2 linked regions of the Astyanax mexicanus genome follow. The main gene of each other region encodes a partner of the protein of the gene in region 2 in a complex. Links are inferred from orthologs where the notes say so. Each region holds a gene or a part of one and is shown on either strand. Other genes may lie near its edges.

Region 1 (12,418 bases), on a different chromosome or scaffold from region 2:
AAATAGAGAATAACTGTAAAACTGCAGCGACTCAGAGGAAAAGATCGCCTTCATACCGGACAAGTAAACATCTCTAAAACACCTTCAGTCTGGTAGTTTTATTTTCATGTATTAATTTTTATATGCTTGAGATGATGTTTTTATCTCCTGGTTGATTATAATAATAATAATATCTAGCATAATAAAAAGGAAGAAAGGAAGACCTCTCGCCTCTCCCAGAGGTTCCGGGAGTTTCCTGCACATGAACAGTAGCTCCCTGATGCCTGAAAAAAACGGTACGATTTCTTGGAAATTGTTCATTTTAGAAGATTTAGAGGGTTTTCAGTGCTCCATGAGCGGCAGGAGTTCTCTGAGGACAGCAGACCTCCTGTTCCTACTGATGTAAGACTACAACACAAACCAAAACAAACTGTGTATCAACAGATTCAGAGATTGTTCATGAGGGTGGCAGAGGGCCAGGTGTAACGGCGACAGGAGTGGCGGGGGTCAAGGTTAACGAGTATCAAGGGTGACAGGGGGGCGGGTATAGCTAGGGAGGGGTGTAACAGCGACGAGAGGGGAGGGGGTCAAGGGTGGCAGGGGGGCGGGTATATCGGGGCTGAGAGTGACAGGGGCCGGATGTGAAAAGTATCCTTTTGTGCATTTTCTGCCAAGACTATGAAAACCATTATGATTGTGATGGAACTGGCACTCATCAGGAATGCTCAAGGAATGGAAGAGCAAGCGTTTCCTCTGTTGCATAGGATAAGTTCATCTGAGTTACCAGCATCACAGAAAAAAAAAAACCCAGATGATTCAGCATTAATTTAAAATATAGAAAAATAAAGAAAAAGAAAAACATTGAATCTCTGAATTGAGGTTTTGCGTGCTGAAATGTTTTATAGAGAGAAAATAATAAACATAATAATAAAACATCATAAGTCATAACGAGGGATAATAGTTTAATTTCTCTTTATCACAGAAACTCTTACTGAATTAAATTCTCATCAGACGTGATTTCTGTAATCCAGCTTTGATCTTTTGGTACAGCACGCTCTGAATTAACCAATAGGAGGAGGAGAAAGAGAGAGAAAGATATTTCTGGAGTTCTGTAAGAATCAAAGCTCCGGGTTTATAGAGTCTGCATCTCCCACGCCACCTTAACCCACGCCACCTTAAATCACTGCACGGGTCACCTGCCACCCGTCACCAGTCACCAGCTCCAACCCGGCAGATCTGAGTCAGCCTGCCGCTCCCACACAGCCACGCTTTCACACCACCAACTCACACTGATCCAACATTTACACAATATATATCTCATCCTTTATAAACTCCAATATCTCTAAACACAGCGTTATTATACTACAGAACACTATCAATCTATCAATCAATCAATCAATACTTAAAATTACACTTATACAGAAACCCAAGGACACTTTAGACTCATGTTTTACACAGTTTTTACAACTCATGTTTTGTTTTTGTTTTTCTTTACCATAGCAACACCATAGCAACCTCAAAACAACCACAAAGTCTCAGCAAGCCAACATCTTTATCACAGCAACACCTCAGCAACCACAAATTAACCACAAAGCAAATCCACAGCAACAAACACCTTAACCATATAAACACCTCAGCAACCACAAGGCAAAGCTTTAGCAACCAACACCTTTATCATAGCAACGCCTTAGGAACCAAAAAGCAAAGCCTTAGCAAATCAAAGCCTGAGAAACCAATCAGAATCTCAAAGCAAAGCCTCAGTAACCAACATTTTTACCATAGCAACACCATAGCAACTATGCAGCAACCACAAAGCCTTTTGTTAAAGTTGAGCTTAAACTCCCGGCCACTAGTTGGCAGACGGCGGTTAAATAATATCATTAAAGAATATCATTGCCAAAAAAGTTTGTTTTTATTCAGTAGTGTGTCCAGGCCTGCTGGAAAATGAAATCCGCATCTCCATGAAACCAAAACCATCTCTGATCATCAGTAAAAATATTGCATCAATGTTAAAAGAAATAAACTCTTAAAATAGATCCATCTGTGTTTAATACATCTATATAATATATATGAGTTTCATATTTTAAACTGAATTACAGAAATAAAGTTACTTTTCAATGATATTCAAATTTTTTGAGATGCACTAGTATATTGTGATATCGAAACATGGGCCCTGTATTGTGATGTGTATTGAATCACCAGGTTGTTGTCAATAAACAGCCCTATAGCAGACATACACAAACAAACACACACCAGTGAGAAGCAGCAGCCAATCACACACAGCGTACTCTCAACCGGAAACCACAGTCCACCTGGAGAACTGAATCCAGCACTGAGCGCCACTCAGTATCTTTGGAAGGAAACCCCCACAGATACGAGGAGAAGAGGGAAACTCCTCCCAGGTCGGGACTTGAACACGAACACACTTAGCGCTAAACCACCGTGACAGACCCGCACATTTTATTAGTCTCTCTGCGCTCCACTGCTATAGCTAAACATGTATCGGGTTCTTTAAAGGGTTTGTAATCTATAGATTGATTATTTCACGCCTTCCTCTTGTAGTTCAGTCTTTTTGTAGTTCCAAATAACAAATGGGGGTAAAAAAAAAAGAAGAAACAGGATGGGGTCTGAGTGCTCACATTAATAAATATATATTTTTGTACGATATCAGCACCATGCTTTTCCTCATTTCTGAAAAACACCCATTTTCTGTGCAAAAAGCCACTAAACAGTTCCAGCTTCTGCTCTCAGGATCTGCAGTGAATAACCAATCACAGCCCAGAGCTGTTCTCCATCTGGATTCACCACATTTTATTCACATTAACGCTGATTACCCCAAACACAGTCGAGCCCATGGACATCATTCGGGGAGGGGACGAAGGGGGCGGGGGGACATGTCCCCAGCACTTTTTCAAAAGCCAGATTTGGTCCCCTGCAGTTTTTACGGTTAAAAAACACTTAAAAGTCACGCTATCATACCGGTCAAGTCTCTCGTTTGGGCCGGAAAACCTCTGTATTTTACTCTTCTTTCCCGCCGTCCTCCAGTATTAGTATTTTCCCTTAAATTTCCAGTATAATAGTAAAATTAAATATATATACACATATATTATTGAAGAGACGGGCCACTGACCGCTGTGTGTCTCTTAACCAATCATGGTGCCGTTTCAAGAAGAAAATCCCGCCTTTCAGGAGAAACAGCCACATTTTTTTGTTTTATTATCTTGTGCACTTTACGTATGAAAATAGACATTTATTAATAGTGCGCCTTATAATAAGGTGTGCATTATAGTGCAAATACAAGGAATTCAGCACAAAATAAAGCTAAATATTGAGTGTCCAGCAATATTCCCGCTCTGACATGGCAACCCTACATTAAATCCACTTATTTCCAGCCTGTAAAATCCCCCCGAGACCCAGATGTGTCAACAGTGTGATGAGCAATTCATTTAATCACTAGTGCGAGAAGAGTGAGATAGTGATATCAGCTCCGCTCGCTATTACACTACTCTAAAATCTACTAACCATGCTGCCTGGGTCTCGCTCATCCGTCCATCCATCCATCCATCCATCCATCCATCCATCCACGATGACGAAAAGATCCTTCCTCTTCTTTTTCCCTCTACCTCCATTCATCCATCCATGCATCTATACATATATACACACACATATATATATATATATTCACACACAGTCAGTGCAAACATCTCCAACAGCCCCAAACAAACAGTTCCAACAGGTGAGTTTTAAACCCAAGCAATATGGCCGCCAGCAGAACTACAAAAAAACAGATCCAACCTGGAGTCACCTGAGACTCTAGATAGACCTAAAATAAACAAAATAACATTACCCTGCTGAAGAACCCAGTTTAAGACCAGACTAGCTCATTTCAGACGGTTTAAAATGGTTTAAGATTTAAAAGGTTAAGCTGTTTTAAAAAGCTGGTCATTTGAATCAAACAAAATATATATATTTTTTTTCCTCATTATTTTTGCATCCCATAAGGCACTTTAGAGATAAAGCTATATTATCTAGGGTAGCTAAGTCGATCAAGCACAAGTTAAGATCATTAAAAACTGAGAAATTCAAAGGCAATTCAAATTAAACTTATTATAAAAAAACATTAAATAAATGTAAATACAATTGTAAATACATACATTTCTTTTACATCATCTACTTTTTTTGTTTGCTGAATGGTTATGTATGATGTATATCTCATCCCATAAAGTAATAGCAAAAAGACACTTCTTATATCCTGTATGAAATATAATAATAATAATAATAATAATAATAATAATAATAATTTTTAAAAACCCAATATATCACCCAGCCCTACAGTAGGTTTATGTCTCAAAAAGTACATTAAACACGAATAAAAAATGTCTTAGAAACATTTAAAAACACAAACAAATTGTTGCATTTGAGGAAACCAGCTTCATTGTAAACCAACTAATACAATAAACGCATCAACTAAAAATGAACTAGCCCTTTTACTGGCTTGAGCAGCCATAGGATTTGACTTTTCGAGCAGCTTTATTTCTTAAAAAAGTACCTTAAACATTAAGAAAAATGTCTTATGTCTAAGAAACATTTAGGAAAAATAATTTTGTGCTAAGAAACGTTTGAGAAATCCAGCCCTTATTGTAGACCAACTAAACCTTCAAAAGTATCAAGCAAAAATTAACCAGCTTAATTAACGAGCTTGAGCAGCCATAGGGTTTAGTTCCTCAAGCAAGTTTATTTCTCAAAAAGTACATTAAATATGAAGAAAAATGTCTAAGAAACATTTAAAAACACAAACAAAATGTTGAGTTTAAGATAACTAGCTTCATTGTAGTCCAACTAAACCAGCGTTAATTAACCAGCTTAATAAATTAACCAGCTTGAGCGGTCATAGTGTTTGGGTTCTCCAGCAAGGTGTTTACAGGTGCAATTAATCAATTAACCATTAACCAATCAACCAATTAATTAAGCAATAAATCAACACTTATCAAGAAACTCCCCAAAACCAAAAGCCGGGTCAGCAAAATACACAAAACTGAAAAATATTAGCACGCATGCTAACAACAAACAACCAAACAAACAATCAAACATGCGGTAATTAAGGTTACATGTTTATAAAACCAAAAATATCCAACAATAACCGATAATAACCAACAGTAAACGATTAATACTGAGGTAAACCCTCGTTTTTATGAATAAATATAACGTAATGAGGATTTATTATAATTAAAAATTAACCGCATGTTTGATGTTTCTACAAACAAAACTATCAAACTTACCGGTCAGCTGATCGTAAGATCCATCCAGATCCCTGGAGTCAGACAAGCTCTGGTCCCGGTTCTTCGCCTTCATCTCCACAATCCTACAGAAACACGGAGAACCACGCTGAAACCCGGAGCTCCGGTACCGAGCAGAACCCGACACAACCCAACAGAACCGGATCTAGAACCAGAACCGCAAAAAAGTTACAAACCAACCGGTTCATCCAGCAGAGCGCGCGAGATCTTCACTCCACTGAAATCCAACCAGGATCTGAGCTCGCGAGCTCTCAGCTGATCCTCCACCTCCCTCCCTCTCTCTCTACCACTCTCTCTCTAATACACTCTATACCTCTCTCTACCACTCTCTCTCTCTCTCTAATACACTCTATACCTCTCTCTACCACTCTCTCTCTCTCTCTAATACACTCTATACCTCTCTCTACCACTCTCTCTCTCTCTCTAATACACTCTATACCTCTCTCTACCACTCTCTCTCTCTCTCTAATACACTCTATACCTCTCTCTACCACTCTCTCTCTCTAATACACTCTCTACCTCTCTCTACCACTCTCTCTAATACACACGCTACCTCTCTCTCTCTCTCTCTCTCTCTCTCTATCTCTCTCTATCCCTCTCTCTCTCTAATACACTCTCTACCTCTCTCTCTACCACTCTCTATCTCTCTCTCTCTCTCTAATACACTCTCTACCTCTCTCTCTCTTTCTCTCCCTTTTAATACACTCTACCTCTCTCTACCACTCTCTCTCGCTCTAATACACTCTCTCTACCACTCTTTCTCTCTCTCTCTCTCCTCCTGATATTTTAAATATAGTGGATTTACGTGTTTTCTGCTCCAGTATCTCTCAGTATCCAGGGAGTTTAGCTCAGATTTGTATATAAATATTATATAATCTTTGAGTTATAGATACGGGTCAGCGTTTATCTCACACTTATTCACACTTATTACACACGATTATTCACCACGCAGCTGTACACCACATACAGGACCGGGTTATTTCTCTCCCTCTCTCTCTCCCTCTCTCTCTCTCTCTCTCTCTCTCTCTCTCTCTCTCTGTTTCTCTAAATATCGTTCTATATTCAGTAAGCAGTCAGATCCTGATTCTGAGTCACAGTCAAACACTGTAGGAAATAAACGCTCAATTGCTTGATGGTGTAGAAATATAAATTTGAATTAAATTGTAATATTGTTTTATATTTAGCATTTCTGTTTAAATTCTTAACACTTTCTTTCAGGACTTTCTGGATCCAGCTATAATCAGTAAACAGGACTTTAAAATGAGAAAAAAACATGTCTATAAAACAGTGATAAATGGAAATATTTCACATAAATGAGTGTTTTCCCACAAAATCTTACAGCACTTCATATCTTACAGCTTCCCTCTGCTGATGACAACTTTTATGGAGATGCGGATTTCATTTTCCAGCAGGACTTGGCACACTGCCCACGCTGCTTACCAAAAGTACCACTTGTTCTTATATAATATAATATTCAAATTTTCTAAAACACTATTTTTTATTGGCTGTAAGCCATAATCAATAATCAACAATAAAATAAAAAAATGCTTAAAATGTATCATTCTGTGTCTAATACATGTATATAATATATAAGTTCCACATTTTACACAACTGAATTTACTGAAATAAAGTAACTTTTTAATCATATTCAATTTTTTTTTTTGAGGCAAGGTGATTTCACAAACATGCAGTGATGGAATTACAATCATTTTTATCTCTTTATAATATTTTATCTAAGCTCAAATGAACTAAATATGAAAATAGAAGTGGTATATATATATTTGTAACTGTATTTAGAGGTGTTGGGGTAATAAACTGGCCTCTTTCTGCCCCACCTGGAGCTCTGTGACCTGGTGGGACTCAGGTGTGTGGTATCAGGTGGTATCAGGGTGAGGAGTGGGGCAGTGTGTGGGTCCTCAGATCTCCTATAAATATTAGAACTGTTAGGATTTAAACAATTACAGCTAATTCTTAATCAATAATCAATAGATCTAAATCAGCACTGAAGAACCTGACAGTTATATAAAATACAGTATTACCACCCCATCCCAACCTACGCATCAAACATATAGAGATATACACTTCTGTGTACATATATATACTGTATATATCACCAGTACACACCTTAAATTCAGTGTTTTTATCATTATTTTAAAATGGTATGCATTGTAGGTTTATAATAAAAAACATATATAATTATTTATTAAAGAAAAAAGTGTAAAAACAAAATATTTAATATTTTAGATTCTTCAGAGTAGCTCCTCTTGGTTAAATGACCAGTTTTATACTTTTCTACATTTTTGTACTACAGTTTTTATTCCCTTTATACTGAATATCTACTTATTTTTATTTAAGTGCGTTGCCTACATTTCCTTTGGAAAGTGTCTCTCTCTCTCTGTCTGTCTGTCTCTGTCTATTTCTATGTCTGTCTCATTGTGTATCCGTCTCTCTTTGCCTGTGTCTGTCTCTTTCACTCTGTCTGTATCTCTCTGTCTGTCTTTCTCAGTCTATCTTTCTGTCTATGTCTTTATCTCTCTCTCTGTCTATGTCTCAGTCTGTCTCTCTCTCTGTTTCTCTATAACTATCTGTCTCTCTTTCTATCCCTTTGTCTGTCTGTCTCTGTCTGTATGTCTGTCTCTTTGTCTGTCTCTGTCTCTATCTTTGATTCTCTTTCGTCCTACCTGTCTCTTTCTCTGTCTGTCTTTCACTATTTAGCACTCTTTCTGTGTCTCTCTGTCTATGTCTCAGTCTTTGTCTGTCTCTCTCTGTGTCTATCCCTTTTTCTGTCTCTCTCCGTCTATCTCTGTGTCTGTCTGTCTATCTGTCTCACCTACCTCACCAACCAAACTCATTGTATCCAGTGTTCACTACTCTAATTAAACTCTTTATTATTATTATTATTATTATTGCAGAAATTAAAGCATTAATGGATCGATGGATGAATTAAAGTGAGATTTATTATCTCAGGCGTGAGGAGATATCTCCAGCACTGTTTACACTGCAGCAGAATGAATTAATGAGATAATCTCCACGGGTTCTGGTGTGTAGAACAGTAGTCTGTGTATTTTATGTGAGGGATTGGGTAATAATTGAATTCAGTGGGTGGTAATCGTGAGAAAGGCGGGGGATGGATCGATAGTCTGAGTCATTAAGTGGCCCTGAGTTATCAGAGGGTAAGATCTCATGACACAGATATGAACTCGGACGCTGTACTGAAGCTCTGGCTCCTGCTGGAAAACAAAATCCACGGGAGCTGGAATTCCCTGGGACTCTCTGGGGCACAGTTACCTTACAAAATATATAATCTCATTACTGATTATTAATTACTGATTACTCCTTTAAAAAGTTACTTTATACATTACTTAATTTTAAAAGTAACTACTGAGTGAGATTAGTTACTAATGCACTCCAAATATCTCCATGTATACAGACAACATTTCTCCCAAATTCCAAATAAAAATATTCTCATTTAGAGCATTTATTTATATGCAGAAAATTAAAAAAGATGCAGAGCTTTCAGACCTCAAATAATGTAAAGAAAACAAATTCATATTCATAAAGTTTTAAGAGTTCAGAAATAATCAATATTTGGTGGAATAACCCTGGTTTTTAATCACAGTTTTAATTTCATGCATCTTGGCATCATGTTCTCCTCCACCAGTCTTACACACTGCTTTTGGATAACTTTATGCTGCTTTACTCCTGTTTCTGATTAAACAGAATGGAAAGAGTGGTCGCTACAATTACTCATTGCTGAAAAAAAGGGGTTAAATTAGAGTAACGCATTACTGACATCACTGGCTGTGGCTGGTTCTGTGGCTGGTGCTGTGGCTGGTTCTGTGGCTGGTTCTGTGGCTGGTTCTGTGGCTGGCGCTGTGGCTGGCGCTGTGGCTGGTGCTGTGGCTGGTTCTGTGGCTGGTGCTGTGGCTGGTGCTGTGGCTGGTGCTGTGGCTGGTTCTGTGGCTGGTTCTGTGGCTGGTGCTGTGGCTGGTGCTGTGGCTGGTTCTGTGGCTGGCACTGTGGCTGGCACTGTGGCTGGTTCTGTGGCTGGTGCTGTGGCTGGTGCTGTGGCTGGTGCTGTGGCTGGTTCTGTGGCTGGCGCTGTGGCTGGTGCTGTGGCTGGTGCTGTGGCTGGTTCTGTGGCTGGCACTGTGGCTGGTTCTGTGGCTGGTGCTGTGGCTGGTTCTGTGGCTGGCGCTGTGGCTGGTGCTGTGGCTGGTTCTGTGGCTGGCACTGCCATCCTCTCTGCAGTGTGTAGTGAGAGAGTGTGATATTCATGTTGATGAGTAACCCCTCTGAGAAACACTCTGCCAGTTTATATGTGAGGATTACAGCTGAGGGTGGAGATAAGTGTTTTAAACCGAGTCAGAACCGCTCTGGGTAATTCATGATACTCAGATTAACACAAACACAAAAACCAGACGCCTAAAACCAGCGCATGTCGAAAAACGTTCAAAATTACGCCAAAAAAGCAGCGAAATAACAGCAAACAGAACCAGCATATATTTAGTTCACTACTCAGGAATTAAAGCAAAAACATCCCAGCATAATACAGCCTGATAAACTACTCAAAACTATCAATCTGACCAGTTACGAAGCAAAAGATACGTCCAGGTAGCTGCACTGTTTAAATAGCAATACGCCAAAGTCAGAGCTCACCTGATCTACTCTTGAAGACACTCTGATTCGCCGATAAGCTCAAAACACATCCATGATAATCATCATGTAAAAATATGGCAGCAAATATAAACAACATACCAGAGTGTAGCAAGGTAAAACGGGCTCAAACACAGTAAATCCAGATTAGATTTAAATAGATTTAAATAGTCAAAAATACAAAGATCGGCAATGGAAACAAACAATATGCAAAAATTGAAAGTCTGAAACAAAAACAGGTCGGTAAAAAAGACAATAAACAAAGGAAAATGTGTCATAAAAGCAGTGAATAGAGCAAACTGAGGAGTTTTTATACAAGACACGCCAGGAGAAAGCAATCAGTAACTGGGGGAGCAGGATCAGCAGAGTGCATGCTGGGAATTGCAGTCCTTGTTGTGTAGAGCAGTCAGACTGAGCAGACTTTAAGCATCAGGACTGACACATAAAAAAAATTGTAGTATATTTACACTAATATACTTTAGGTGTGTTACAAACGATGTTAAAAAAAACACAAACTTAAATCTACTGAAGTTTGCACTTAAGTTTACTAAAATAATGTTTTATGATGGGATTTTTTGTAAGAATAAAGTTTAAGGTGACGAGTTTTGAATTTCTGTAATGCGATTGGCCGAGAGAGAAAGGAAGCTGCGGAATTGTCCGAATGGCAGTTTTATATCATGTTTTATTCTTATTTTAGTTTTATTTTTAATTCCTTGTTGTTCTTTTACATGTTTTTAATTGTACTTTTCTTTATTTTAATCATGTTTGAATCAATCATGCTTTAATCCTATTTTAGTTTTTATTTCCATTTTTACTCTTATTCTTTTACATGTTTTTTTAATTTGACTTCTCTGTGTATTTCCTAGTTTGTAAATCACTTTAAATGACCGTTGTGTATGAAAGCTGCTATATAAAAAAATGAACTTGCTTTACCTTGCCTAACTCATACACTGTAATATTAAAGAACTGTAAAACCTCTATTTTAAACTCCACACACTAAAAATTAAACTGCTTCTGATTAAATAGGTGTGAAATGAGTCTCCAGCTCGCTGACGCTGCAGCTCTATAACCAGCAGACTGAAGAGAGGGTCCTGTGAGGTCCTTCCTATCTGCCATTCTTACATCCCACACACACACACACACACACACACACACACACACACACACACTCAGTATGGCGGTTCTCACGGCTCCGGGGGCACGTCGATTGTCCTTGATTACACCGCCTGCATCTTTCATGAGCCTCTCACTGAAACTGAGAGAGTGGACTTTCACAATCCAAACTCTTCAGGGCGTGAGAGTGTGTGTGTGTGTGTGTGTGTGTGTGTGTGTGTGTGTGTGTGGTTGAGCCAAATCCTGCTTTTATTATAAAACAAATAGGCGTGCCCTGATGAAAACTTAATCTACTTAATTGTACTTAAAACATATTAGTTAAAGAGTTAAAGAGGCATGCTTTATTTGGGATCACCTACAACCTTTCCATAGCGGGCAAATCATAAAAGTTTCAAATTTGTTTACATTTACCATTCCACCTTAAATACTGCTGCTGTGGCGACACACAGGCTTCTAAAGGTGGAACAGAACAATGAACAATAAAGAACAAAGAAAAATAAGAATCCAGGTGTAGTTTTATATGGACGGTTGGTAATTACTGGAAATTCAGAGCGAGCTCAATGGCTGTTAAAGCTGGTGTCAGCATCAGCAGCACATGCAACTGTTGACTGACTATTAAGTATGTTAATTAATAATGTTAATCACCATGTAGAGGCGGGGCTTAGTGAGAAGTGGGCGGCATTTTTCAGAGGGTTGCCAATCACCATAAAAATCCTCTTCACACAAATTTCCTTTCCAAACATGGAAACTCTACTACAGCAGGAGCTCATTTTTTTTAAGAGCGTATAATTACATACTTAAGAAATATAGCATTCTGAAATGTGATTGGTTCCTTCAACAGCAATTAAAGTTTAATAAGTATAAAAAACATTTTTTTTAATAAAAGAAGAAGATGCATCTTTATCTGATACTTCAAAGTAGGATGACGCATTGTGAGGTCATGAGGTTATGAGGTCAAAGGTCAGGCTGATCTTAAGCAGCGTCTGGGATCTTCTATAGGTTTAATCCATTGTTTTAAGATTAAAATGCTGCAGGATGTTCTCTAAGAACAGCTTCTGATCCCTTCCAATCAAATTCTCTCAGTTAGAAAGAGTCATATTTTAAATGAATTAAAATGTATTTTATGTGGAATTACAACAATTATCTGTATTTAAACTAACTTTCAGTTTATTATACACAAGCTTTATGTACAGTATATTGAGTTTATGGAGAATTTGAAACTGAAATGAAAGCTGCTTTATTAATTCTATTTGCAGCAGTATATATATATATATATATATTTTTTTTTTTTTGGAAAACCTGAAGTTTTAAAGTAGATTTTATTTTGGGTAACTAAATACAAAAACTCTGTTAGTGTGACATATACACAGTAT
Region 2 (12,184 bases):
TTTAAGTGAGAATTACAGCCCGCTGACCTGTTCTGTGTAGTCTATCGGCTCGATCTGGGCGTACTGCCATTCGCAGTTTCGTGTTATGACAGAAACTGCAGCGCACTTCAAAATCAGGCTGATCAAAGCGCCAGTTGTGTGCTGGAGCGCACGGTTGGGTTATTGCCCCGGAGTGTGACTCACCCCCCCGTGTGGGCCTGGCAGCATCCGTCTCTCCCGAACAGCCCAGCAGAGCCGCTGGGCAGAGCATGCGGCATGCGGGCAACCGCTCCAGCACCACGGAGAGCGCCCTGCCAGGCAGGTGGGAGGCACGGAGAAGCGCGCTGAGCCGGGGAGCGAGCCAATTAATGAATGGGAAAACACATCAATAGGGATGTATTACTGTAATCGCCTCGGATGCTCCGCATCGTAATAGCTGCGCCGGCGGTCTTCCTCTCGGCTCCCCTCCAATATGGTTTCTTCGCTGCCACTGCTGCCACTGCTTCAACTGCCACAGGATACAGCCACTACTGGAGGCGAACACATCTGTTGGTGAATGATACGGAGTGGAAGACATGCAATGTGTTCCTAGATAGCATGCTAGAATGCATATAAAATCTTGACACTTCTACAGCAATCCATATTAAAAAAGGCTCTATAAATCAAGAAATACAATTATATGTGTGTTTATGAGAAATATTGCTTGTAATGAGGTTCACCTGCCTCTAATTCCTGTTCTATATTTGGCTCTTCACTTACTGCAATGCTGTTTAAGTACAGATATTACTCAAAACCAGTACAAGCGAATGCTGCTTCGCCAAAAAAAAATCCCACCAAGAACAGACCACCGCTCATCTACACTTACTCACACACTCACTCTCATACTCACTCACACATACATACATACATACATACACACAATCAAAAAATGTTGACAATTTGGGGACCTTATCTGGTCCCCACTTCTACAGCAATCCATATAAAAAAGGCTCCATAAATCAAAAAATACAATTATGTGTGTGTTTATGAGAAATATTGCTTGTAATGAAGTTCACCTATATAGAAAGGCTCCATGAATCTAGAAACACAAATATATAAGCAATATGTGTATGTGTGTGTATGTGATTATAAATTTAGCTTGTAATGAGCTTCCTCTGCCCTTAATGCCTGTTCTATATATGGCTCTCCACTGTAATGCTGTTGTTGTACAAATATTACTCAAAACAGTACAAGCGAATGCTGTGAACACTCTACTGCTCCGCCAGCAGCATGAAGTGTTTCCTTTCCACCAAGAACAGACCACCACTCATCTACACTTACACATCCATACATACATACAAACATGCATACATACACACAATCTCAAAATGTTGACAATTCTACAGCAATCCATAAAAAGGCTCCATAAATCTAGAAACACAAATATATATTAGCAATATATGTGTGTATGTAAAATACTATATTGCTTGTAATGATCTTCCCCTGCCCTTAATGCATGTTCTATATTTGGCTCTCCACTTACTGTAATGCTGTTATAGTACAGATATTACTCGAAACCAGTACAGTAGAATGCTTGCACTGCGAATGTTGTGAACACTCCACTGCTCCGCCAGCAGCATGAAGTGTTTCCTTGGTTAAAAAGAAATATATATAAAAATCCCACCAAGAACAGACCACGGCTTATCTACACTCACACATACATACATATACACACTCTCAAAATGTTGACAATTTGGGGACCTTATCTGGTCCCCACTTCTACAGCAATCCATGTAGAAAGGCTCCATTAATCAAGAAACATAAATATATGTGCAATATATGATGTGTGTTTATGTGAAATACTGTATTGCTTGTAATGAGCTTCCCTCTGCACTTAATGCATGTTCTATATTTAGCTCTCCACTTGCTGTAATGCTGTTATAGTACAGATATTACTCGAAACCAGTACAATAGAATGCTTGTATTGTGAATGCTGTGAACACTACACTGCTCCGCCAGCAGCATGAAGTGTTTCCTTGGTTAAAAAGAAATATATATTTATATAAATCCCACCATGAACAGACCACTGCTCATCTACACTCACACATACATACATACATACATACATACATACATACACACTCTCAAAATGTTGACAATTTGGGGACCTTATCTGGTCCCCACTTCTACAGCAATCCATATAGAAAGGCTCCATGAAACTAAAAATACAAATATATGTGCAATATATGTGTGTGTGTATGTAAAATACTGTATTGCTTGTAATAAGCGTCGCTTGCCCTAAATGCATGTTTTATATTTAGCTCTCCACTTACTGTTATGCTGTTATAGTACAAATATTACTGGAAACCAGTACAATAGAATGCTTGTACTGCGAATGCTGTGAACACTCTACTGCTCCGCCAGCAGCATGAAGTGTTAAAAAAAAATCCCACCAAGAACAGACCACCGCTCATCTACACTCACTCACACATACACTCACACATACATGCATACATATATACACACACTCTCGCAAGCTCCCCATCCCAGAACCCCTCAGCACCTACCCCAGCGTAGTCATGGTGACGATGGTGTACCAGAAGGCGGCAGGGATGCTGGTGAACTTGCTTGAGTTGGAGCCTTTCTCAGCATAGAACATAACGGTCGCAAAGATGATGATGGCCATAGTGAGGGAGAAGAGGAGGAAGCCCAGCTCGGAGGCGCAGCTCTTCAGCGTATAGCCCAGGATGCGCAGGCCCGCCGAGTGGCGCGAGAACTTGAAGATACGGAAGACGCGGAAGACCCTCAGTGTGACGAAGGCGCCGCTCACATCCTCGTTGTCCGTCATGACCAGGCCGATGTAGTATGGCATGATGGCCACCACGTCGATGATGCTCATCACACTCTTCACAAACTTGTAGCGGCTGGGCGCGGCGATCAGGCGCAGCAGGTACTCCACGGTGAAGATCATCACGCATGCTGTGTCCAGGCAAAAGAAAGCCAGGGCATACCGCTCACCACAAGATACATCCTTCACCCGGTTGAACGATGTGCCACACGGCACTGTTTCCACCACGTTGGCCATGACGGACACGGCGATAAAGAAGCCTGTGACATAGTAGAATACCAGAGCCATGGTGCTGGTGTGGGGGTTCTCAAAAGCACGCCACATGGACTGGCGCATGGTCATGTCCGGCGGCGTCATCTCTTTGCCGTTCTCATTGTCCTCGTCGTCCTGGATGCGCTCGGTGTTCTCCCGGCGCCGGTCCTTGTACTCTTCGTAGCAGCAGTCGCCAATAATCTCGGGGATGATGCCGAAAAAGGCCAGCTCCTCGTCGTAGGCTGAGATGCACTCGTGGCGCGGGTAGTGCAGCTTTCCCGTGCGGTAGAAGTTGAGGATGTGCCGGAAGATGTCTGGATCGCGGTCGAAGAAGTACTCGTTGGTCTCCTCGTGGTAGAAAAAGTCGCGCTCCGTGCTGCCAAGCAGGGTGTCGGGGTACCTCTCCAGGGTGTTCCGCCATGTCTGGAACTTGGTGCCGCTCACATTCAGGATGATGAAGCCTTCTTGGGACCGTCGCTTGTCGTGCGGCGGCGGGGGCATGGGGGCGCTGGCCACGGGCATCCAGCCTATGGCTGCAGCGCGTGCGAAGGGCAGCCATGCCGCGACTCCGGCTGCCATGGTCAGCTGCTGGGTGCGAGCTGGACAGGGTCAGACAGACTTGAGACTCACTGTGGGACACACACTGGACTGCACTCAGAGGTCCACCACGAGGACAAGGCACATCTGGAGAGCAAACAGGGTGAACTGAGTAAACTGAGTAAGTAAATCAGAGAAGTCACCCAAAGGGCAGCAGAGGGCATGCTGTTTTTTATTATTATTAATATTATCTTAATGTAAGATGCATGCATGCTTTATACATGCATGCTAAATAGCAGAAATCTTAAACCATGATCCTAGAAAGCCTAGAAATCATTCATCAGGTTACACCTCCATCAAACACCAAATCTAACACAACACAATCAACTCAAGCAAACTGATCATAGAGACATCAATTAGATTTGGACAAGCATGATTGATTGATTGATTTATTAATTAACTGATTAATCGATTAATCGATTAATTGATTGATTGATTGGTTGATTGGTTGATTGATTGATTGATTGACTGACTGATTGGAGCCAAAGTTTGCTAGAAGGTCACTCTCTCTAGGAGCAGGGTTGAAAACTCCTGCTGTACTGCAGGTAAGACTCAAATCTGTGAAAACTAAAGGAAAGCAATAAACTCAAGCGATAGTATTATCAAGGACTGGAAAAATGGAGGGCTCCCTTTTGTCCATAAAAACTAAATAAATGGTACAAAACTCTTATTCTTGGGGAGACTCTCAAGGGCATATCTTCTGTCCCTTTAGTTTAAGAAATACATCATTCTAATACACTCCAATTCATTTGCAGTAGTTGCCTTTTCCTACTTTTACAGCACAGAACAGACTTGTAACTACATTTTGATGGAACATTTGAGGGTTTGTATCTCTAGAATATCTTTTTCATCTGACTGAGGATCATTTTACAAGCATGCAAATTTACAGACAAGGCTTTCAGCACGTTCTACTCACCTCCACATAAATCCACTCACTCTTGCTCAAAAAGCAGTTGGCATGAATCACACAATCCGCTCTCTCTTTTTCTCTCTCTTAAAACTTCAATCAGACAACACTTTGGTTGAAACCAAGAATAACCAAGAATAAAAGTATCCCAAACGAAGAAACGTCCTCCAGCGTGCTCGGAAAGGGCGCAGCAACAAGTTCAGCACTAAGGTAGTTGGTGGATCGCGGTTGGGGCAGTCAGCCAAGGACACTTCTGCAGACGGAGCTTCTGCAGCTGCTGCAGCTTCTAAACCGCTTTGGAGTGAAACTCTTCTTTTTCTGCAAAGCCTCGCAGCTCACAGGTCCATTCATTAACACCACGGCGAGGGACCCCCTTTGGAGAAGCGTGCGTGCGCGTGCGTGCGTGGGGGAGCGAAAAGGAGGGGAATCCAGCTTGCGTCTCCGTGTCCGTTAGTTACCACGCGCTTCTACTCCGTCTGCGGTAAAATGATGATCTCATGAATTGAAGGAAAACAATAGCGTAGAAAAATCCACATATGCTCACACACACACAATGCTGGCGCGCGCGAGGAAAAAGGCAGAAATGGCACAAATCGCAGAAATACAGCACAGGACCGGGTGGTGTTCCTTATACCCAGCCAGCCAGCAAGCCAATGAACGAACAAACGCGCGCGCGCGCTGCAGAAGTTGAAGCTCCGTGCACCTCCTCCTCCTCTCTCCGAGCTCGCGCGCGTAAGAAAGCGCAAACGCGAGAAAGAGAGAAAGCGAGAGAGAGAGAGAGAGAGAGAGAGAGAGAGAGAGAGAGAGAGAGAGAGAGAGAGAGAGAGAGAGAGAGAGAGAGAGAGCTCCTTTTGGAGGTGCGTCACGTGCTCAAGGCATCTACGAAACCAAGCCCCCCTCAGGAACCGGCAGCGTGCTCGTGGTCGTGCTCTCTGTTCTGTTTTACGCTAAGCTCGTGCGGGGAAAAAAAAAACTGCACCACGCGCAAAAGTATGGTTAGTAATGGTTAGTATGGTGACTCGCACGCGCTTTTTCCACTGGATGCGTGTTGTATAGTGTATGGGAGGTGTCGTATAGTAATTATGCGTGACCTGAGCTGGAAGGCTGGTGAGGAGCGCACGGTGGCAGGGGGAGGGGGGGCGGGGGGGGGGGCATGGTTTCTGCATGCTCTTCTCGTGTCTTTTAATGCGCGCGCAGACGCGAAGCCGCTAGATGGAGACAGGTTTCAGTGGCTCGCGCGCCAGGAGCGAGCCAGCCTCACAAGCTGAGAGCGTGAGAGACAGAGACAGAGAGAGAGAGAGAGAGAGAGAGAGAGAGAGAGAGAGAGAGATGAGCTCGTGCAGTTGCTTAGGTGTGCTCGAGTCATCAGCGTAAACGCACGAGCGCTAAGCCTGGTGGAGGGGAGTAGGGGTCCTCACGGCGTTACGTGTCAAATGGGAATCATCACTGTTATGAATCATATCGTTCAGATTTGAATGGAAATTCAACTGGTAAAGCTCTTAATGATCATTAATCACGTGATCAAAGACTAAGGAAGGGTCTGATTATAAGTAAAGGATGACTTTTATATAATAAGCTAAATGAAATGCACCCACTGAATGCAAATTGTACCTATATGTAATAATCAGCACATAAATCGAAAAATATCTTGTCAATGAAATGCTAGATATTTTTCACAGCTTCTCCACAATTAAACAATTTTGGTGTGAATAAAGCCAGTTTCATTGTAACATGTCTGATTAAATGTATGTGCGATTACACTTGAGCATATTTCAAAGTTTAAAAAAAAATCACATTGACTGACCTTCATTTCTTAACCCTTGGATGCATGGATGACCAATACCTACACTCTTCCATGAGTGGGGTCGAAAATGACCCCAATTAGAATCAAAGTGTTTTTGCAATGAATACAAAAAATGCCCTTAATTTTGGTTAAAGGTGATTATATTTATTATATTTGGGTCAACAAAAGACAGATTTTACATTTAACATATTGCATATTTACAACTTTTGTAACATTTTTCCACAAGAAATAACATCAAAATCTTTAAAAATTATTGTTAGTATGTCCATGTGTCTGCAGGACAAAAAAGTAATATCAGAACACTGTCCACTCACATTTGCCCGCACAAAATTATTTTCTCTATTAACTGTGTGCAATTTTCACAAACTATTGGCTTTTGGTTGTGATCATTGCACACCGGGGTACTGCATTTCCAACAGCAATTGGTGGCTTTGTGATCTTTGTTTCTTGGACACATCTGGCACCTCTTTCTCTTGTGTCTGCCCTCTTTGCCTCTCTCCCTGTTGCTGGTTGGCAGTTTTTTTCACTCCACACCTTTCCATTGCTTCAGTGATGTAGGTTGGTAGGTTCGGGGTACCTTCCAGTCGACTTTTATGTGAGGAGTTACAAGCTCCTTTGATCTGTGATGTCAGATCCCGAGTCAATCCCACCGATGGGCTCTTCATCGATCATTCGATGGGTTCAGGATCATATCTCGAGCAAGGTCTTCGGGTCTCCTAGCTGGCCTCTGTGTAGCCATGATAGTTTGGATGAGAAAACATAAAACAGACAATGTTTGAATGACACACAAAACAATAAATCAATATGTAGCTATCTAAGTAAATCTAAGTAAGTCTGTGCATTTATATCAGACAAACCAAGTCTCCCTGAAGCTGCGGGAGTCTCCCGCATTTCGGCAGTGGCTCCCGGATGCCCGCGAGTCACATATAATCTCCCGTAATTCAGAACGAGTGCCCCAAGAGTGCACTGCACGCAAACGTGTACACAGGCAACAGACTTTCTTCTCTAGTCGCGTGTGGGAAGGAGAGAGACAAAACAGAGAGGGCTCTGATTGGCCTGTTCTCTGCAAAGAGTCTGCGAGACAGCCAATCAGTTTTTAGTGTGGGCGGGCAGTGTTTTTCCCCCCTCCCGGATGGGATTTGTTCAGAGAGTGAGAGAAAGCAGATCATGGCGGAGGCAATATTAATAATTATTGTAATATGATATGAAATGTTTTTGATTTTGTGCAATTTCTTGTGATATTGTTACTGTCAATTTTTGTCAGATAAAAAAAGCATAGGGTTAGGGTTAGGGTTAGGCATTCCAAAAAAGAAAAAAGATAAAACTCATTTTATTTCAACTCTGAATACTCTAAATTTTATTTAAAAAAAAACGTCAAATTAATTAATATAAAATTAAAGTTTCGTTATCATTTGGTGAGTTGGGGGGGATGGGCTCCCTGAAATCAACTTTTGCAACTTGGGATGTCTGTTATATGTAACTAAAAGCACAGACATACATGTGCGCCCACACACACACAATCAATAATGATATAATAGGTTACCTAACAGGTTAGCTTTTATTATACGGAATCATGAATACAATGAGTCTCTACATAACAAATGCAGTAATATCAGCTAGCTTACTAAGCTAGTGTAATGTTAGCTAGCTAAGTAAGCCAGCAAACATAGAACTAACATTACTACTAAGATTATTTTGTAGTTAGCTAACTATTGTCTACTTTGTTGACCAACATGATACTCTATGAGAGAAAAGGCATGGAGTTGATAAATAAAGATAATACTTACATGTATGCTGCTGCTGACCTCCTGGTGGTGAGAATGCAGGTATCAGATGTGTAAGTGGGACAGAACATGTATCCTGACACTCACATTTGGCAAGAATCAAAGATTCCCAAAGAAAACCCTTGAGAATCTGTAGGAAATGCTTGGGGTCATTTTTGACCCCACATATGGAAAACTGGGGTAGTGACACAAAAACTGCAATTCCTTAAAATGTATAAAAACATTTTAAAAAATTCAAATGGCCTCAAGTCACAAACATGTTTTATGAGGAATACCTGGAAAATGGAAGTGTAAAAACGTTTAATTTCAGAGAGTTTGAAGAATAACAACCCTCGGGGTCATTTTTGACCCCACTTATGCATCTAAGGGTTAAGTTTCTTTTCTTTTTTTTTACTTAGTTGAGTAGTTCTTGCTTCTGATAATGTGGATTAGAACATTACTCAAAATAGAGTAAAAATTCACTGTATACCTGTAACTCTATAATACATAAAATCTTAATACATAAAATATGTTTCTCTTATTTTTTTATATTTTTTATTTATTTATTTATTTTGTTTATTTATTATTACTTTTATTTTTTTATTTTAATTTTAATGTTCATTTTTCATTCTTGATCTTAGTTCTATTATTCATTTTATCACTTATCATTTTTAACATTTTACTTTACATTTACTTTTACTTTTTACTTATTTTATATTTTATACATTTTTTTTTACTTTGTATGTGTAAAATATGTTTTTTTAATGATATTTGTGAATGATCTGTTTTACATATATATTTTTATTAAATGTTGATTTAAAATGAGTATTTCTTTTATTTTTTAATATTTTTACTATTTTATTTCTTATTATTTCCAAATTATTATTAAATGTGTTCAATCCATTTGCTGTTACAAAGCTCGGCAACATTGAAAATAAATCAATGTTTTTTTTTCCTGGGGGTTGAATGAAGGTTGATTGATTGATTGATTGATTGATTGATAAATGTATAATTTATTAAGTAATCGCAGCTGTCATCGTTCAGAGGGAGCAAAGTTGGCCCTGCACCCTCCGGCTGGGTAGATGGCGCTCTCTCCTCACATAACTAAAAGGGTGATGTCGATCAGCACAAGGCATCTGTGAGCTGATGTATCGGAACCAAGTCGCTGGGAAGAAAATTAAATAAAATTATATTAAAATATATATATATATATATTACAAAATCGTTTACAACAAAAGTTTTAGGTTTTGTCAACTTATTGGGTTTTACAGTGTGCTAAACTGTAGCATAGGAATGCACCACTGATGGTGAGAACATTCCAACATATGCATGGTGTGACTGCTGACTGGAGGCGTCTGTGATTAGTGCACAGTCGTGCTCCCCCGGAGGAGGAGGCTGTTTCACGCTCCCCACAGAGTCTGCAGTTAAGGTGCATGAGCTCCAGCTCCACCACAGCTGTGTCAGTCCCGCAGTGTGTGTGTGTGTGTGTATGGCAGGGACTCTTAATGAACTACCTCCAGCCTGCAGTGCCTCCTGAATTAGACACATGCACACTGGATGAGTGTGTGAGTGAGTGAGAGAGAGAGAGAGAGAGAGAGAGAGAGAGAGAGAGAGAAACAATGAGAGATAAAAACATCTACAGATGTTTCAGCATCACAGAGAGTGACAACCGTGGCTAACTGCACTACATATGCTCCACCCACAAGTGTTGCCATTATTATAATTTATACATAACAGACAGTATTGATATTATCAGGTAGACTGAGCACAATGGGAGCACAGTGATATAGAGACATGATCAAAAAATGATGGATTGTCTGTCATGTGTGGAGTATAGGGGTGAGCGATATGGCCCTAAAATAATATCACGATATTTCATGGTGTTTTCGCTGTAACGGTACTCTTGGTGATATGAAAAAAAAAAAAAAACAGATTAAAAAAATATTTAAAGATTACGCTAATGCAACAAAATGGAAAAAAAAACAATACATTTTATTATTACATATGATAATTGTTTGAAATTGACTTCTGAACTCTTAAAACTTTATGAATATGAACTTGTTTTCTGAAAGCTCTGCATCTTTTTTTTACTTATTTCAGCCATTTTTCATTTTCTGCAAATAAATGCTCTAAATTACAATATTTGTTTTTGGAATTTGGGAGAAATGCTGTCTATATGTGTTGTTTATATAATAAAACAACCATGTTCATTTTACTCAAATATATACCTGTAAACATCAAAATCAGAGAAACTGATTCAGAAACTGACATGGTCTCTTTTTTTTTTTCCAAAGCTGTATAATGGCTATAACCCTAATAGTCATACTGCCATGTTTATTTAAATGCTTATAATTAGCTTAATTGAATGAATGTGTATGTATTATTTTCCGGAAGCCTTGGTCAGATCAGTAAGGTTTCTACAGTAGATTACAGTAATATGTACATAATTACAGCTTTCAGATAAACAGTACCTTACTGGAAAAGCACGATTAGCCTCGGCAAATTAAAAAATTGGATTACTTCAATACACTGTAATTGTGAACAGCTGCCACCATTTCATTACTGTAGATGTCCTGTGTTGATATGAACGCTTGTTCTTTGGTTTGGGTTCTGGGTGGGTTTGTATGGGAAACTGGTCATATTGGTGCATTAAAAATGGTCTATTTCAAGACTCTTTGCAAACACTGCTGTTGGATCTTATTGTGCCTAAAGATAATTTTTTGCACCAGAAGTGCAGGCATAAAGTTATCCAAAAGCAGTGTGTAAGACTGGTGGAGGAGAACATGATGCCAAGATGTCCGAAAACTGTGATTAAAAACCAGGGTTATTCCACCAAATATTGATTTCTGACTCTTAAACCTTTATGAATATGAACTTGTTTTCTTTGCATTATTTGAGGTCTGAAAGCTCTGCATCATTTTGTTTTTGTTATTTCAGTTATTTCTCATTTTCTGCAAATAAATGCATATAGATGACATAAGCATGTAAGCAATGGTAAAATAACTAAGTTGAATTTACTTAACAAATTTGAGGAAACCGGTTGCCTTAAAAAAAGAAAAAAGTTAAGTAATGGATAATGACAACTTAAGTTTGCATAACTTAGAACATCAAGTTACTACAACTAAAGGGGAAGTTGGTTTATTTGGTTGATTAATTTTGTTATACTGTAAGACCAGATCGATTTAACTTTTAAGTTAAATCGTTAAATTTAAGGCAGCTGGTTTGCTCAAATTTCTGAGATGAATTTACTTAGAAAAAATGTGAGGAAACCGGTTGCCTTAAAATGGAAAATAATGAAGAATGATAATTTATCTGGCAACAGACTAAACTCAGTTATTATGAGTTGGTTCAACTCAAAGATCTCAGAGAGTTTGAATGTATATGTGCCCAAAATGTTCAACTAACTCAAAATAGATGGCAAAGTAATGTTTAGAAATATTTAATTTTATGTAAAACAGACTTCAGAAAAATCAATGTATGGGTTCACAGTTTACTTTTTTTACTGTGATTTTTAAACAGGATTTCTCACACACAAACCACATGATTAAATATGCATCTGAATGAAGCACTATTTGTAATCCACTAACAAAATATTGGTGACACAACAGAACAGCTCCAAGACTAATCGAGTTGTAGAAATCCAGGCACAGCTACAGCATGGTGACTCATTTTTTTCTGGAACACTATGTATGACTTTTCTGGTGTATTTAGCCGTGATCACGCATTCTGTCCTATTTATGTGATTAACCAGAGCAGCGTTGTGCGCTTGTGTCTTTTTTCTTTTTTTGTTGTTTACAGCTTTTGCTCTGCCTTCGGAAGTGGTGAACTGGCGCCAAAAACGCACTGCCGTCGCCATGGTTACTGATAAATCTGGTTTCTTCCCGCGGGCTGTAAGCGTCTAGATATGAGAGCTCACTGTCTCTTAACCCGCCACACAGGGGCCAACTTTCTCACTTCAGGTGGAACCCACACAGTTTAACTCCACCACTCGCCCTCTGACCGGAGACGACCGCTTTCCGCTGGATTTTGTCCGTCCCCCTGAGCCGGCGTGCCAC

The links.
Region 1: the proteins of kcnd2 (region 2) and Kv channel-interacting protein 2 are in contact, whole or in part, in a cryo-EM structure (PDB 7UKH), measured with the Homo sapiens proteins. The link is inferred for Astyanax mexicanus from reciprocal best matches to the Homo sapiens genes KCND2 and KCNIP2. Residues at the interface, in NP_036413.1 of Homo sapiens: Val5, Ala7, Trp8, Leu9, Pro10, Phe11, Ala12, Arg13, Ala14, Ala15, Ile17, Gly18, Trp19, Met20, Pro21, Val22, Ala23, Ser24, Gly25, Pro26, Met27, Pro28, Ala29, Pro30, Trp55, Asp57, Arg61, Arg100; in NP_775283.1 of Homo sapiens: Arg112, Gly113, Phe114, Asn116, Glu117, Cys118, Val123, Phe128, Ile131, Tyr132, Gln134, Phe135, Phe136, Tyr144, Leu148, Phe152, Phe165, Leu169, Ile172, Leu173, Arg180, Trp183, Ala184, Leu187, Tyr188, Met201, Met205, Ile208, Met211, His228.

The regions. Positions count from the first base shown.
Region 1 is NC_064432.1:26,944,420-26,956,837, forward strand, and holds the start of Kv channel-interacting protein 2, read right to left. Parts: upstream 5,540-12,418; 5' UTR 5,465-5,539; coding exon 5,457-5,464; intron 5,342-5,456; coding exon 5,259-5,341; intron 1-5,258. UniProt on the Homo sapiens protein: Regulatory subunit of Kv4/D (Shal)-type voltage-gated rapidly inactivating A-type potassium channels. Modulates channel density, inactivation kinetics and rate of recovery from inactivation in a calcium-dependent and isoform-specific manner.
Region 2 is NC_064409.1:7,760,264-7,772,447, reverse strand, and holds the start of kcnd2 (potassium voltage-gated channel subfamily D member 2), read right to left. Parts: upstream 5,449-12,184; 5' UTR 4,572-5,448; intron 3,743-4,571; 5' UTR 3,638-3,742; coding exon 2,526-3,637; intron 1-2,525. UniProt on the Homo sapiens protein: Voltage-gated potassium channel that mediates transmembrane potassium transport in excitable membranes, primarily in the brain. Mediates the major part of the dendritic A-type current I(SA) in brain neurons.